Linked DNA regions of Solanum lycopersicum. The protein of the gene in region 1 interacts with the protein of each later gene in a pairwise test. Links are inferred from orthologs where the notes say so. Each region holds a gene or a part of one and is shown on either strand. Other genes may lie near its edges.

Region 1 (3,130 bases):
GTGGCTCACTCTTTGAAATATGATTCTCATCAGGAATTTGTTGAGGCAAGACGAACTGCTGGACTTAATAATGCCCCTCCTTGTTTGTGGTCTCCTTCTCCTCCTCAAGAACTGACAGAAGCTTTTACAGAAGCATTATCTGCTAATGCCGGATTTGTTAGTTTTGGTATAACAGATATTTTAACTAGTTTTTACATTGATATTTTGTGATTCCCATGACCAACTTATTTTTTGACACAGTAATTTTTTCTCGCCACGTGGAAGGCAGAAAGCTGGACAGAACTGTCTGGAACCTATCAACCTTTCATGCTTATGTAAATTATCATGTTAAGGTGAGAATTCTAGACCAAAAGTTTCTTATCTATTGACCTAATTATGTCACATTAATGTGCTTCCATACTTGATGCAACACAATTCACGACGTCTTATGTCAGAAGCTCCCTAGTGAATCTTGAATATGTGCTTTGAAAGATTTTTGTAAATGATGAAGCCCTTCAACCTTATAGAAGGCCTTGCTGACTAAAGATAGAAAGCTTCACTCATAATTATATTCCTATATTTTAATAACTACTTTCTTCTATATTTCTGTGACTGTAAAATTTTAGACAAGGATTCTTCATTCTATTATAATTTTTTAAAGCTCTTCATTCTTTGAATCCATGAAATTAAAATTTCCCACACAGTGGATGCTTGGCATTATATATATATGTGACCTTTTATTCTTTTTTTGGAGAATATGAAGACTAAAATGCCACCACACATATATATCCCAATAGCTAAAGCTTTTTGTAATGATTTCTAATTCAGGCTTTTGTAACCAAACCTGTATAGTGTTCCTGGAGATTTAGTACTGGAATCTGTAGATCCTTGAAGCAGTTTATCTATGGAGGTCTTGAGTCTGTTAAAGTCTTGCAACTGCATCCACTGGGTTACTTGTGTATTTACTAACTTGGATTATTTCAAAGAAACGATCTTTCTCAAGTGAAGTGATCAATTTATGGCACATGTTGAGATTTTCATAACCATTACTGCATGCCTCAATAGCTTTTAATATGATAATATTATTTCTGTCAAACTTTATATCCGAAATTTAATCACTTCGATGTTTTTTCTGTAAACAGTGTTCTGAATGTTTCATGCATACTCGGATGAGGCGTCAGGTGGAGTCATTGATACAGGTAATTATCAATCTTTCATGATAAATTTAGAAACAATAGAATAGCAGGTTTATTGCATTCTGTAATACAAATGTATACTTGGCAATGACCACCTATAAAGAATGCTAATTGGGAAGTTTGCTAAATTTTATATCCGAGGTTGCTTTTTTTTTTTTTTTAACCTTTTTGCTGAAAGAATCATGGCAACTGTTTACTTTTAGCAAAAAGTTCACGCTTGTTCTGATGAGGCTGAATGTAGAGGTTTCTTATGGTTCTTCGTGCAATCCTATTAAAATGTCTGAGTTTGTTTCTCTTGGGCATTAGGTGATTTCCGTTTTGTGTTTTTCCATGAAGCATGTTCATCAAAGTCATTCTACGAAAAAGCTAAATGGTTAATGTCCAATCTTGTTCTTGTATGACCGGCACATTCATCTTAGTATCTACATCTCTGCAACTCTCATCTTGTCGATACGATGGAACTCTAGCAGCCCACATTCACTCTCATATAACATTACTGGTTTTATACTATATAATACTTGTTGCTTAAATGGCGTTTATGTGACCTTCCGAACACGATGCTTGATGATCCTAGTGCCTTTTAAGAACTGAAGTCCCACATGTATCTCAGCTTTAATTCAATTTTCCGTTTTGACATCACATTCTGCCTACTCAACTGCATTGTTTCGTCTTACTGCAGTTCCTTGTAACTAAAATGCCCCGGGACTCATTTCTTGAATTATTTTCTTGTTTAGCTGATCCTAGAACTTGTAAGTTTGTTGTTTGCGGGTTCACAACATTCATAACTCTTCTGCAGGCACTTGACCGTGCCAAACCAGATCCCGAGAAGGCCAAGAAAAATTCACCTAACAGATCATTTAAACGAATGGTAAGTCATTTGATTTGTTTGATCTCTACACCAAATCGTTTCTTACTATCTAATCTGTTTTCTTTCTTGACATTTATATAGAGCCTCAAGGATGGCAATAACAGTTTGGGTTCGCGAAGTTGGAAGTAGAAAATCCGAGAATTGAAAAGGTTACTTGGCCTGAAATCATCGTAAACGCAGCTTCTTCTCTAATAAACTCCATTTTTTTTCATCGTGTTCATGTTTATAGTTGTCGTTGTAAATCTCATTGAATTGTCTTCGGCGTTAGATTTGAACTTAGCCATCTTTGCTGAAGCTTCAAGTTTTGGTTAGCAGATTGCATTCGTTTTAGTTCTGCAAAGTAGTGTAAAGATTGCTTTGTAACAACTTGCAATATTCCCATTTTATAAAGTTGCATTTTTTGCTTATGCTCTAAAACTTGTCTCCGGTGTGACCGGCTCGTGGAAGCAACCACTTATGCTTGTATTAAGATAGACTATCTTCATCAGTCATCCCGTTCCTCGGGTGCGGTCCTTCCCTGTGCCCTACGGGAATGTAGGATGCTTTGTGCATCGAGCTTTGTACAAAATAGTCGAGACACACATAAATTTGGTTAAAATCCATTTTCTTACATGGCCAATGGACATTTTTCATTTTCATTTTTATATTTAGGTTAAAATTGATAAATATATAACACGTAAATATTGAAAAGTAGATATTCATACGCTATGTATTAATTAATTTAATGTAAATATCAGGTACGACTATTTTGTTTTCCGACAAAGGAAACAGTGGGACCCACAATCAATGAAGGTTCCCTTCCCTCTATTCTTATCTTCCGTGACTCTCCGGTCTCTGTACTTAAAACCCTCTAACATACGGCGTCGCGGACGGAGTTAGCGACCTAAAGAGTTCATCGAAAAATTATATTTTATATATAAAGTTATTTTTTTCTATTCATAAAAATAGTAACATATACCAGTGGTTATTACCTATTTTATTCGGTCTGTTTAATTTGATTATTACTTAAATTTGTCCGTACTTTAATGATGAAATACTTACTTTATATAACAATCGATCTAATGTGATCGTGTTGTTACATTTATTA
Region 2 (4,603 bases), on another chromosome or scaffold:
CCTTGCTTTTATAGCCTATGTTAGTTGGTTAGCTTCATTCAATTTCTGAAAATAGGGGGTGAGTTAGGTTTATATACTTTTGATTATTTGCTTAGTCAATTATTTTTGCATGCCAAAATGCAGTACGATTTAGGGTCCTTACCTCCAATTCTTTATGCAAAGGAGTGTACCAATTCCCAATTTCTTTTGCTTCCCTACTTGTCAAAAAATGAAAAAAGGGAACATTCTGCCCTCTGTTTCTTTCATTTTATAGTTTCTGAGTGACGGTGGGTGATAAGGTTGTATAATTTTTGCCATCCCATCTAGTTCTCAGTCCCTGGCTGAAGAAGGTGGTCTAGAGCTCATAAAGCTGGTGGCAGTAGCAGCAATAGCCAATATTCAGATGTTTTAAACAATACGTAGAATGTTTAAAACGATTTACAGACTCAGGGAACTATAACACACCATCCTCTTTTGACGTTTTTTCAGGATAGAATTGGCAAGCTGCAAGGAGGCATCGAGTTTCTTGAGCACTGTGGATTTGAGAAAGTTGAAGGAGGTGAATTCTTGTACCTGCCAAGAGAAAAGGTGGACATCGCGGTGCTTAACTCAGCTGGAACTGAGTTGAACAATGCTATTAAAAATCCCTTCTTTGGAGTCCTCTAAATTCTAATCTCAATACATTAGTAAAGATGAATAGTAAAGGATACTTTGTATGTTCCAACTTTTTCCCCTTTGTTGAGTCAAGGTTTACTTGAGTTTTATAAACTGACATTGTTTAAGTTACTTAGATTTGGTGGAATCATGTTCCTTTTTGAACCATTTTTTATCTACAAGTTTAATGGATCAAGTTGATGTTTAAGCTTTTCTTTTTCACTTACCCACCAGTGGTCTACCGCAAACCACCTCTCTATCCTCAAAAGGTAAAGGTAAAGTCTTCGTATATTTTATCTTTTTCAGATCTCACTTACCCATCCCCGATGACAGAAGAAGGACGTAATCCGTGTTAAGCTTAGAAGGGTAATTGCTCTCGTAGCCGCTTTTGGGATCGATTGGAATTTTGGAATTACATCGTGTACGATGTTTTCAATCAAATTAATTCTTAACAAATTAGTACTCGTAATTTGTGAGGGTCGTTCTAGCTTATATAAGAAATCCTTAGGAAAGTGTTTCCTATCTAGATTTTTTTCTAATTTGAAATCCGAGATGTTCGATTAAAGACAAAAAAATTTTCTATCTGAGGGTGTTCATTATAAGCTAGACATCCTTGCATGACCAAGAACAATGGAAAACATACCTGATAAATTAACGCGAACTTAAAAACTCTAAATGGAGAGCCTGACTAGTCTCGAGATAACTTGTTCTCCAACTAAACGAGCAACTAAATGAGCTCTGAGTGTATGTATCTATAAAAAAATTTGTAATCAATTATTTATCATCAAACCGACCTTAGCTCAGTTGGTAGAGCGGAGGACTGTAGTCGGGTCAAATAAAACCCACAGATTAATCCTTAGGTCAACTGGTTCGAATCCGGTAGGTCGGATTTTTTTTTTATAATTTTTTTTGGGCGCATTTTAGCAGTATTTAACTTAACGTGCACCCTGTATTCAGCTAAAACTTCGATCGGATTAATATTGTATTCAATTTCAAAGGGAAAATCAAGAAAAACAATCGTTTAATGGTAAGTATTTGAGTCATTTTGAATTTCGAAAAAAAATAAGGGTATTAAGTGATTTGATTATGTTGAGATGTGTTTGAATTGATTCTTGTTTAGATCCAAGATTTTATATTTTTGTAGTTTCAGAATGTTTATGTGCAGTTTTGAGCTGACCTCACTTGTGAGAGATTGCGCGGGGTATGTTTGTTTGTAGTAGAATATATTAGTGAACTTATATTACTGTTGTGCACTTATTACTATGTATATGGTGAAAGTTTGGGGGGTGGGGGATCTTAAGAATTATGAAATGAATGAGATTTTAGATGGAATGATTTCTGAAAGGGGTATGGTTGGTTAAAAATGTGATCTTTTTTTATGTGCGTGCGTAAGGTTTGTGTATACTTTAGCCTCCCTGAACCCCTTTTCGTGGGACTCTGTGTGGGGTGGGGTGGGGGGTTTACATGGTGTAAAATGCTGAGAAGTTGTAGTTTTGATGAATTTGAAGGAAAATCCATTATGATTGTGTCTGAAATGCATAAGAAACAAGCTTGAGGCAGCAATCTGTGGGTTTGGTTGTGTAAAAGTGTGATCATTTTTTTTGCGTGTGTAAGGTTTGCATACACTTTAACCTTCCCATACCCTACTTTGTGGGACTACTGGGGCCATGTTAGTGTTTTTTCTTATGTGTGTGTTGGGAGGGGTTACATGCTGAGCAATTATTGTTTTGATAAATTTATAGGCAAATCCTTTGCATTGTGACGTGCAAAAGAAACACGCTCCAGGCAGCAATGTTTGTGTTTGGTTGTTTATAAATGTAATTTTATTATGTGTGTGTTTGAGTGGCTAGGGTGGGGTGGGGGGGGGGGGGTACTTACTGCAAAATGCTGAGCAGTTATTGTTTTGATTTATTTCTAGGCAAATCCGTTGCGATTGTATCTGACATGCATAAGAAATACGCTTGAGGCAGCAATGTGTCTTCAGGTATGTAGCATTCTACATGTTAAATATCATTAGAGATTTTTGCAGTACTGTAAAAGAAAACTAAATACTTAGTTGAGTCCTTTTAGTTGTTGTGTTTGACTTGCATTGTCATTGGCCTGAGGTTTGTACACCAAGACATTAACGAAGTTTGGTAGTTTGAGACAATTTAAAGCATAACGCTATGATATTTTGGATGATTCGAGAAGCAAGTTGAGTTCCCATGCATCTAGGTCATTCTGTTTACACTTATTAGTTTTAATTCCGGCAGTCATATATGCTTTGATTAGAGAGTCCATATGCAGCATGTTATCAGCACTTTCGACTCTTCTCCACCCCCCCCCCCCCCCCCCCAACAAAAAGAAACTGTAGTCTGACATCTGCATTCCATTGTAATATTATTATTATGATTTGCTCCATTGCCTTCTCTGCATATTGTTATGCTTCTTTAATCATATGTTATTCGCTCAGCCGACTAGCTTGGAATTGAGGAGTAGTTGTCAGTGTGTGTTATTTCAGCCACCATTTGTTCTATGTTCAGTCAATTAGTTTGTTGCATTTGACATATCTTGATATATCTGAAAAAATAATTTGCTGTTAGTCATGCGGTGAAGTGTTAGCTTTGACTTTTAAGCCCCTTCAACCATTTATTCAGTAAATATGATGTATTGGTTACTCTATACCTGTCTTAACATTCCTTTTCTCATGGTTGTTGGCTGGTTACAGAATTTCCCATGCCAAGAAGTAGAGAGGCATAACAAACCAGAGGTTGAATTAAAGTATGACTTCATGCTGCTGTCTCATTTTACTCGAAGTTAATGATGTCGGTTAGCATTACATAATTTTTCTCTTCTGTAATTCATCAAATGTCTTCACAGCGTGTGGATTCCTATAATCAAGAAGAATTTCATGTGTATTCTTTTTACATATAGTATGACTGGATCCTAAAACATTAACTTTTGACTTGCATACACATATCACTTTCTGCAGCAGAACTTAATATTTTACTAAAATGCTATTGTTGAGTTCTCATCTCTTTACGCAGAGAAACTTATACTGAATGCTTTTTATGGGTTAGAGGAATCGACGTGCAGCATTGATAAAATAAGAAAAATCTTACAACACACGTTGACTCATTGCTCCCTTTTATTTGTTACCTGCAAAGTGTGTAGATCAGAATAATAATGTTTTTCTCATTTGGTATGTTCTACAGGACAAGCCCAGAACTTCTTCTTAATCCTGTAAGAACTGTTTTATATTCTTAACTTTGATCTTTATTTTTGAAGATCTCTGCTCGACAGACTTTCATGTTCCCATAGTTTGCTCATCTGCTCTCAGTACAATCATTGCCAATCTAAATTACATGTTATTATTGACTCGCTTTATATATGCACTGAAGGTTTCTTAAACTAGTGATTGTGTGTTATTCTGTTCATGATATTTATGAAGTGTGTAGAGAGTTCTTGCTTTTAGAATAATATGATTTTTCTCTCACGATTATCTATTTGTCAAAAACCTGCTCACGAGTTGTTAATTTAGCTGCCAGCACATTGTCGATGAGTTGCTTTAATGATGTAACACAGTAACAAGCTGTCCAAATTGGTTGGGGGGCACTAGCTAGCATTAGATTAGGCCAGCTAACTTCGCTATGAGTTTCTGTCCTAGTTGGTTGGTTACTCGAACTAGTCTTATATTTAGGTCATCTAGCGTCAAAAATGATGCAAATTTAGTCCATGATACTTTCCGTTAGAAGAAGTTATATGTTTATTTTTTATCTTGATGGTTAACATGTTCTCCATAACTAGTTAGGAAAAAATAATCAATAATTTAAGGTGCCAAAGAACTTAGTTATCTGTCCTGCTCTTTAGGTGTATAAGGATGAGTTTTCATTTTTGTTTTCTACTAGCGCAAGCGCAATTGTTGGTCGGTATGCTTCTTTATTATAAATTACCAGTTTCTGCCATGATAATTTCAGATTTAGCGTAACTT

Evidence for each region.
Region 2: the proteins of actin-related protein 2/3 complex subunit 2A (region 1) and actin-related protein 2/3 complex subunit 4 interact in binary tests that used the Arabidopsis thaliana proteins (3 or more experiments, as listed by UniProt). The link is inferred for Solanum lycopersicum from reciprocal best matches to the Arabidopsis thaliana genes DIS2 and ARPC4.

The regions. Positions count from the first base shown.
Region 1 is NC_090810.1:58,681,550-58,684,679, forward strand, and holds the end of actin-related protein 2/3 complex subunit 2A, read left to right. Parts: intron 1-33; coding exon 34-166; intron 167-240; coding exon 241-332; intron 333-1,121; coding exon 1,122-1,178; intron 1,179-1,971; coding exon 1,972-2,043; intron 2,044-2,124; coding exon 2,125-2,172; 3' UTR 2,173-2,460; downstream 2,461-3,130. UniProt on the Arabidopsis thaliana protein: Functions as actin-binding component of the Arp2/3 complex which is involved in regulation of actin polymerization and together with an activating nucleation-promoting factor (NPF) mediates the formation of branched actin networks.
Region 2 is NC_090811.1:68,151,824-68,156,426, forward strand, and holds the start of actin-related protein 2/3 complex subunit 4, read left to right. Parts: upstream 1-1,595; 5' UTR 1,596-1,657; coding exon 1,658-1,660; intron 1,661-2,375; coding exon 2,376-2,450; intron 2,451-2,551; coding exon 2,552-2,617; intron 2,618-3,340; coding exon 3,341-3,393; intron 3,394-3,827; coding exon 3,828-3,855; intron 3,856-4,603. Other genes in the region: uncharacterized protein, read left to right, coding at 469-645.